Styela clava: one gene and its partner. The protein of the gene in region 1 interacts with the protein of each later gene in a pairwise test. Links are inferred from orthologs where the notes say so. Each region holds a gene or a part of one and is shown in the gene's direction. Other genes may lie near its edges.

Region 1 (3,936 bases):
ACAGACTTTTTGCCCCGTGAACTTTTCTTGTCATTAGGCAGCGCTTTACAACCCTTTGTCCTGTAGACTTTTTTAATCACTAGGTGGCATATGATAGTTTGAGTAATGTTTTTCATACGCCTCGGAAATGATTTATGCTGAATCATTTTGGAATTGCAATAAGTAACATTAGAAGATTTAAATAGCAAATATAAGATAACAAGGGCTCAGCCCAAAAAAGCTGTTTCAAGAAAATAAGAAAAATTGTAGATTTTGTTTTTTCTGTAATTTTTTTATTTAACTTTTGCTGAATATTGCTTCTAACAACAATACCAGCTTAAAGCACTTATTCTATTATAATATTTTGAAATGAAGTTTACTGTATTGTTTTATCAAATTTATTTGCAAATACTGTACTTAGCGAAATGCACCAAGTTTATCACTGTGGTATATTGTGGTGACTTTTTCTTGGCCTGTAAATTGGGGATATTAATTTATTTAATATTAATGATATACTTTTTTTTTTGTTTAGTTTTCATTTTGCTTGTTTTACCTAGAAACAAAGCACTTATTCATTTATAATATTTTGAAAATAAGTTTAATGTATTGTATTGTCAAATGTTTGCAAATACTTAACGCAATGCAATGAGTTTTTACTGTGATATATTGTGGTGACTTTATGTCAGCCTGTGAATTCGGAATATTGAAACTGTTTAATGATATTACTTCTTCTTTGCTTAGTTTTCATTTTGCATATTTCACCTAGAAACAAAGCACTTATTCTGTATTGTAAGCACTTTACTGTATTGTATTGTCAAATGTTTGCAAATACTTAGCACAGTGCAACAAGTTTTTCACTGTATTATATTGTGGTGATTTTTTTCTTGGCTTGTGAATTAGGAATATTGGAAATATTCAATGATATTACTTCCTCTTTTCTTAGTTTTCATTTTGTCCATTCCATCTAGAAACAAAGTTGTTTTTATATTTTATTAAATTTTTACATATTGCCTGTCTATGCATTCAAATTTTTTTATGACTTATACTCAAAAATTATAGGTACTCCCGTAGTGTATGTACCAGTTTAGGCCACAATTTTATTCCGATTTTCCTTGTTTTAGCCCTATGACGAATTCGGGGACTGTCTATGTTAGCCAAGTGAATATACTCCCTGCCCATAGGTTTCAGTCCCTTTACACAACTTGATGTAAAGTAGGCGAACAAAATTAGTTACCTCAATGTTGGTACATACACATCTGCGCCAAATTCAAATTTATATCCACATAGTTAGAAAAGGAATATTATTTTTCACAATAAAGTTGTATATGTTTATTCTGAAAATCATGATAATATGTTGGAATAGTATTCCGATTGATTAAGAAGACTGGTTTGGTATATTTGTTTCTACTGGGAATGTTTGTACATTCCAAAATTTTAAATTTTTGTTCTCATTGTTTGTGGAAAGTTTTTTTTGCAAAACCAAGTTGGTATTGTTGGTTGGAAACCATGTTTCAATGTTAATGATTGGTACTCCCAAAGTTTGTGAACCAAGGTGGTGGACATCCGAACATAAGGTAGTATGTGTAGCATGTTAGGGTTAGGCCAAAATTTTATTCCAATTTTCCTATTACGAGTTCTGGGACTAGTCAATTGATAGTATTGTATTTGTACCTGAAATTATGTACAAATTATGAAATTGATAAATGTCCACCTTTCAATCTTTAGATTCGAAATTTTGTTAAACTAGATTAATTAAGTTGAGTTTACAAAATGACTGAATCCGGTGAGTCTGGTGAAGATACCAATCGTAAAAAGAAAAAAGAGAAAGGATATCATCATTTCTTACCAGATAATGAGACAGATGAAGAATCTCCATTTTCAAAAAGCTTTGGAACTCCAAAATCAGGACAATCTAGAAAACCAAAAACATCGAAAGGCCTCTTTAAAAAAGCTTCGTTTTCTAAAGGGAAACTTAGCAAAAAAGGGAAAACACCTGGGGACTCTTTGAACATTCCTTCTGATGTACCATCCTCGACGCCAAAATCAAAAGAACATCGCGATGCGAAGAAAAAGTCAGCGAGTTTACCTAGAGACATACAAATATCGTTTAAAGACAAAAAAGATCCGCAGAAAAAACATAAATCAAAAAAGCGAGTTTTATCGAACCCAAGCGATGAGATTCCTGAAAGCCTACCAGAAGAATCCGAGGAGATTGTCAACCCGGTATTCAAAAAAACTCTAGAAGAGGCAGTGCAGCGCACTTGCTACCACGATAACATCCTTTTACCTGCTGTGGTACGAGACTGCATAGACCATTTGGAGAACAAAGGTCTAACAGCGGAAGGAATATATCGGATATCTGGAGTAAAAGCAAAAGTCGATGAACTCATAAAAACCTACAACCAAGAAATTTCTCCGGATTTGAATCAATACGACCCATACACAGTTGCAAGTCTTTTAAAAAATTATCTACGAGAATTACCAGAGCGTGTCTTGACCGACCAATACTCCATGAAGTTTGAAGAGGCTGCTAGTGGTTCAGATAAAATCCGAGCGACCAAATCAATTCTTCAAAATCTCCCTGAATGTAACCAAGTTTTGATTTCGTGGTTAATCGTACATTTCAGTCACATTATTGATCACGAGAAGGAGAGCAAAATGACGATACAGAATATTTCGATCGTTTTAAGTCCGACGTTACACATCAGTCACAGAGTTTTGAATTTATTCTTTACTCAAGCGAAACAGATTTTTGCAGGTATGTTCTGCTCCACTGGGCATTTTTTACGAAACTTTCAATTTGATATTTATGAGACGTTTTCATATGATCACACCAGAAAAAGTACCATATATTCTTGCAATACCTAAGCGTTTCAAATACTTTCAAATTCAATTTGTCTTTTTCTCTTCACAGGGGTTGAAATCAAACCATTAATCAGACCAATGAGATGGCAAGACTGGGCCACTATGCCTCCATTACCGAAAGATCAAATAGAAGTTGTTCAAGAAATAAAACGTCAAGAATTTGTTTTAAATCGGCTTCACTCACAATTACAAGCTGGTTGTAAAGACAGGTAATATTTCTTTGTTTCCATTCTGAATACATTTTGTACATGCAGTACCGACTAGGTATGAAGTTTACCATACTCATAAAATTTTGAATTATGGCAGATCATAGAAAATGTCTCCTTGTAGATTATGGTAAGTATCACGTCCCATCCAGGATATGATAAATAGGGTAGGCAATCCATACTGTACAGACTTGGCTTGTTTGAAACGATGTAACTCTAAAATTTGCTGATAAAAAAGTCCCTAGAGAGTGCTCCAGAAGTGTATGTGTACCAATATGGGGGTAAATAATTTTGTTCGCTCATTTTACATCAAGTTGTGTGAAAGGACTGAAACCTATGGGAAGAGAGCTAACACAGACAGTCCTCGAACTCATAATAGAACTAAAACAAGGAAAATCGGAATAAAATTATGGCCAAACTCTAACCTGGCACACATTTTACGATGGACCGGCAATCCACATTGGATTTGTTTGAATCAATGTCCCGTGCTCTCTAAAATCTGCTGAGAAAAGATTTGCAAGGATACTTTACATACAGTGATCAAATAACACTATTCATTATTATAAACCTTATGTGTGTTAATTCTAATTGATTAATTGTATCTGATGTTCTTTATCATCTATTCCATTAGTCTCAATGTCTAACAAAAACAGAAGTTCTGAAACTAAACTTATTTTATATTAGATCCTTGAGTGTTGCTGCTTGATACCAAGCTTTGGTTTCTTGCAGCTTCCCATCCCCAGTTGAAATGTGTGCCTATCTTTTTTCTTCATATTTTGTTGAAAACTGACTTTTTTACTGGTTGAAAAAAATAACTTGACTTGGTCAAGCACTGGCTTATATGCTACAGATTTTGTATATGCTTTTTTACAGAAACCAATAAAAT
Region 2 (3,890 bases), on another chromosome or scaffold:
TCCGAAAATATTTTCTCAGAATTTACTTGAAATAATTAAATATAATAAATATATAGTAATATTAGTACACAGAGAGAATCAATGTATGTTATTTGTCACCATAAAAAGCAGAAGTATAGTCTACTTATATTATAATCAAAATATACTTATACTTATGAGTCTTAGACCAGAACAACTGTTTAGTTTGTCTTTAACAGCACCCGTGGGCCGTGGCTAAAATATGAACCTCTTATATTTTTATATAAGATGTATATTTCATAAAAAGGGGGGATATCATTTTCTTATTGCTATCAAAACAAATGCCGAAATAGGCAACGGGTACGGTACCGGCATTCGTCTATGTCTGTATGTACAGAATTGATTCAACTCAATTTTATGAAAAAATAAAAAATGAAGAAAGGAATAGGATGTAGTCTATTATATTTTTTCAGCTGACTCATAAATAACCCTGAACTAGCGCTTTTAACAAATAGACAATTTCAAACTCAAGAGCACAGTCACGCGGAATACGTTTGTAACTTCAGAGCTTACAGCTGGAAAACCTCAATGTTAATATGTTCAGATGATGGAGTTTGAGTCTTATATGGTTTATTTATGACACTACCAAACCTCTATTCAGCTATTCTGGATTGAAGTGTCCTCAGTCGATCACGATGGTGTAAGAAACTGCCCCGGTCATTCAACTGATGCTCTTTTTTTGACTTTAAGCATTCATACATTATTGTTTTGGCGCTGCATGTCAACCTGACACTTGCGGAATGTGACGTAACGTCATGGCTTGTGATTTCGGGCTTAGATTCCACGCCCCCTTTTTATCGAAGGTCTTTGATTTTTTGGGTGCGGCTATTTTCGTTGCAATAATTTGAGTCGATGTATTGTGCCTCTGTGTTACTAGAGAATTATATTTTGTGATAGATAGACTATACGAATGTTAACAAATGGCAGCTAACAAAAATAAATCAAATGCTCAAGCTGCACTTCACAAAGTTATAATGGTTGGAAGTGGAGGAGTTGGCAAATCTGCGCTTACTCTCCAGTTCATGTACGACGAATTTGTTGAAGATTATGAACCAACCAAAGCTGACAGTTATCGAAAAAAAGTAATTTTGGATGGTGAAGATGCTCAAATAGATATTTTAGACACAGCTGGACAAGAAGACTATGCAGCCATCAGAGATAATTATTTTCGAAGCGGAGAAGGTTTTTTGGTTGTATTTTCAATTGCGGAAAAAACCTCTTTTGATGACACCCAGGAATTCAGGGATCAAATATTGCGCGTTAAAGGAGCTGATTCAGTAACAGCGAACAATATTCCATTTATTCTTGTTGGTAATAAGTCTGATTTAGAAGACAAACGTCAAGTCACACAAAGTGAAGCACAACAATTTGCTGATAATATGGGAGTTCAGTATGTCGAAACATCGGCCAAGACAAGAAGCAATGTTGACAAAGTATTTTTCGATTTATTAAAATTGATCAAAGATGAGAAAAACAAAGTCGCGACTGCACAAACTTCAAGCAATAGTCCTGAATCTGAAGACTGTATTGGACGATGCAAAAAATGCTGCACAATTGTTTGATTCCTTATGTCGTCATAATCGCATCACGAAACTTAAGACCATCTGAATGGTAGTTGAAAACAATTCTCTATATAATTTTATTTCAAGACTTGCAGTGGCAAAATTACAACTGCACGTACTTACAGATTTATGTACTTGATCAATGTAAAGCTGCACATTAAATGTGTTTTTTGGTCTTTTAATTTTTTTGAAAAATTTTGTCAATATATGTCAGAGACTATATTCATCTTTCTGCCATAACTCGCTAGTATTTAACTGTTTGAGTACACTATGTCTATGTGCAAACTATTTAAAAATAATGCTACTATTCCATTTTTTAGCATAAATTGTCTTCAAAAATGTTTGAGCAAAGTTGCAGTCATGACAATTTATTTCATGCCCAAACTTTCATATTCCAAAAAATGAGAGAAAAACCATCTTTGAATAGTCACATGTTAACTTTTTTGGAGAAGCAGGACCTTTGTTTATGGCACTAATTATAGTTTGAAAAATTTTGGAAGTCCAAGGACTTTACTATGAAATTACATATTGTTTGTTGCTATTAGGTAAATTAATTGCTATCCAGTAATCAATCACATGTCATAGCATATGATTAAAAGCCTGTAGATGAAGAAGTGGAAATGACTGCTTTTATCCTTGTAATTTATGATTCCACAATTTTATCTATAACCTCTGCTTTCTATTTAATTGTATTTCAATTCATAATTTGTTAATACTTCATATCATATTAACCTGCAGATTGATCTTGTTCTTCCTGTAGATAATTTTTGACTTAATTGAGGCTATGATATTGTAGAAAAATTGTAGTGTATTCTCAAACTTTTTGCTCAACATCTTGAAATGAATAAATATCACTGGTAAAGACACTGGTGTGACAATCAATCTGCACTCAGCAGTGATACTCCTTTAAAGCTTCTGTGAAAAAATGCTGTCTGTGTGAAGCATACCTTAGAATTCTAAAGTTGATTATATTATGGTTATCTATATCTTTAAATTATTCTTCCATACAACGAATTATTCTGTGTCTAATTGAATCCTTTGGGACCGATTTGAACATTTAGTATGATACTGCTTAATATCTCGGTATCCAGGATATTTGCTATGTTCTAACTTAACTGAGCAGCTTATCATATTTCATGAGCTCACAACACAATTCCTTTCTGGAAATAATGTCATTCTAATGTAAATCATGTACAGCCATATTCACCAGTGCTTCAGATTTATGTAATAGCCTGACATTTAAATATTTCGAACACTTTTCAAAATATTTGTCCAAGTACATGATTTATGTGTTATTGTTTTTATCTGAAGTTGGGAGGTGCATTTTATGCAATAGCTTGGGCTTGATATTTTTGATTTCGCTGTTTAGTGTACAATAAATATTATTCCTATTATTAATATTACCTTGTGGTTTATTGTCTGTGTATAAATATGATTTCTTTGTTCAACTTGGTGAATCTTACAATTCTTTCGACCTGTAAGAATATGTCGAGTTTCTATATTTTATTAAATTTTCTGCTAATTGTTGTTTTATTGTGTTTTCGCATACTCTTTAGATTATTGATACATGACATTTTTTGAAAATCATTGACAATGTCAAAGTTGAAAAAAATTGTTGAAGAAGCGAAAGAGTCAAGATGTCGAGAAGTTGATCTCAGTGATAAAGGGATTCAAAATGTGAATGAAGTTCCCGGGCTAAGTATGTAAAATCTGTCCAGATTTGAAAATAGCGTTGAATGTTTTAGAAACATTACTTTTAGAGGTGGTTTTTATCTCCACAGAAGTATATATATCTGATATGACGGTATTTTTTCCATGTTACATGACCCGTGGTGGAAGATCCTTTGTTATGTTATATTTGAATACTTGTAATGGAAATGTTGCGACTTGAATGCCATGATTGGTTGAATTATTCAAATTTGAAATTTTTTTGCCTTGTTCATGCAATTTTAATATATTATATTGCAATATCAAATTCAATGAATTTTTATATTACATGATTTATGCGAAGTTCTATCTCAAACATGACCCAATCTATACTGCATTCAATATTCTAAAATACTGTTTTAGATCAATTTGTAATAGTTTCTCTGCTAGTATGCCTTTTTGGATTGTTTTTCTCTATTTATGTTATTTATTTTGCTTCTGTTCACAATGTTTTATTTTGTGCTATATTTATGAATGTCCTTAAGTGTGCGATGTAGAGATGTCTGAATAAGTTTGATCAATTCGAAACCAATATAAAGGAGGACTTTTATGCCAACTCCTACTTCCAACTGCAAAGTTGATGATGTTTGCCAGATTTTATAG

What was found.
Region 2: the proteins of ralA-binding protein 1-like (region 1) and ras-related protein O-RAL-like interact in a two-hybrid assay, tested with the Drosophila melanogaster proteins (6 studies listed by BioGRID). The link is inferred for Styela clava from reciprocal best matches to the Drosophila melanogaster genes Rlip and Rala.

Annotation. Positions count from the first base shown.
Region 1 is NC_135264.1:15,712,907-15,716,842, reverse strand, and holds the start of ralA-binding protein 1-like, read left to right. Parts: upstream 1-1,669; 5' UTR 1,670-1,749; coding exon 1,750-2,737; intron 2,738-2,893; coding exon 2,894-3,053; intron 3,054-3,936. UniProt on the Drosophila melanogaster protein: Participates in receptor endocytosis during interphase, is also involved in mitotic processes when endocytosis is switched off.
Region 2 is NC_135257.1:11,152,444-11,156,333, forward strand, and holds ras-related protein O-RAL-like, read left to right. Parts: upstream 1-809; 5' UTR 810-938; coding exon 939-1,580; 3' UTR 1,581-3,137; downstream 3,138-3,890. Other genes in the region: ras suppressor protein 1-like, read left to right, coding at 3,174-3,279.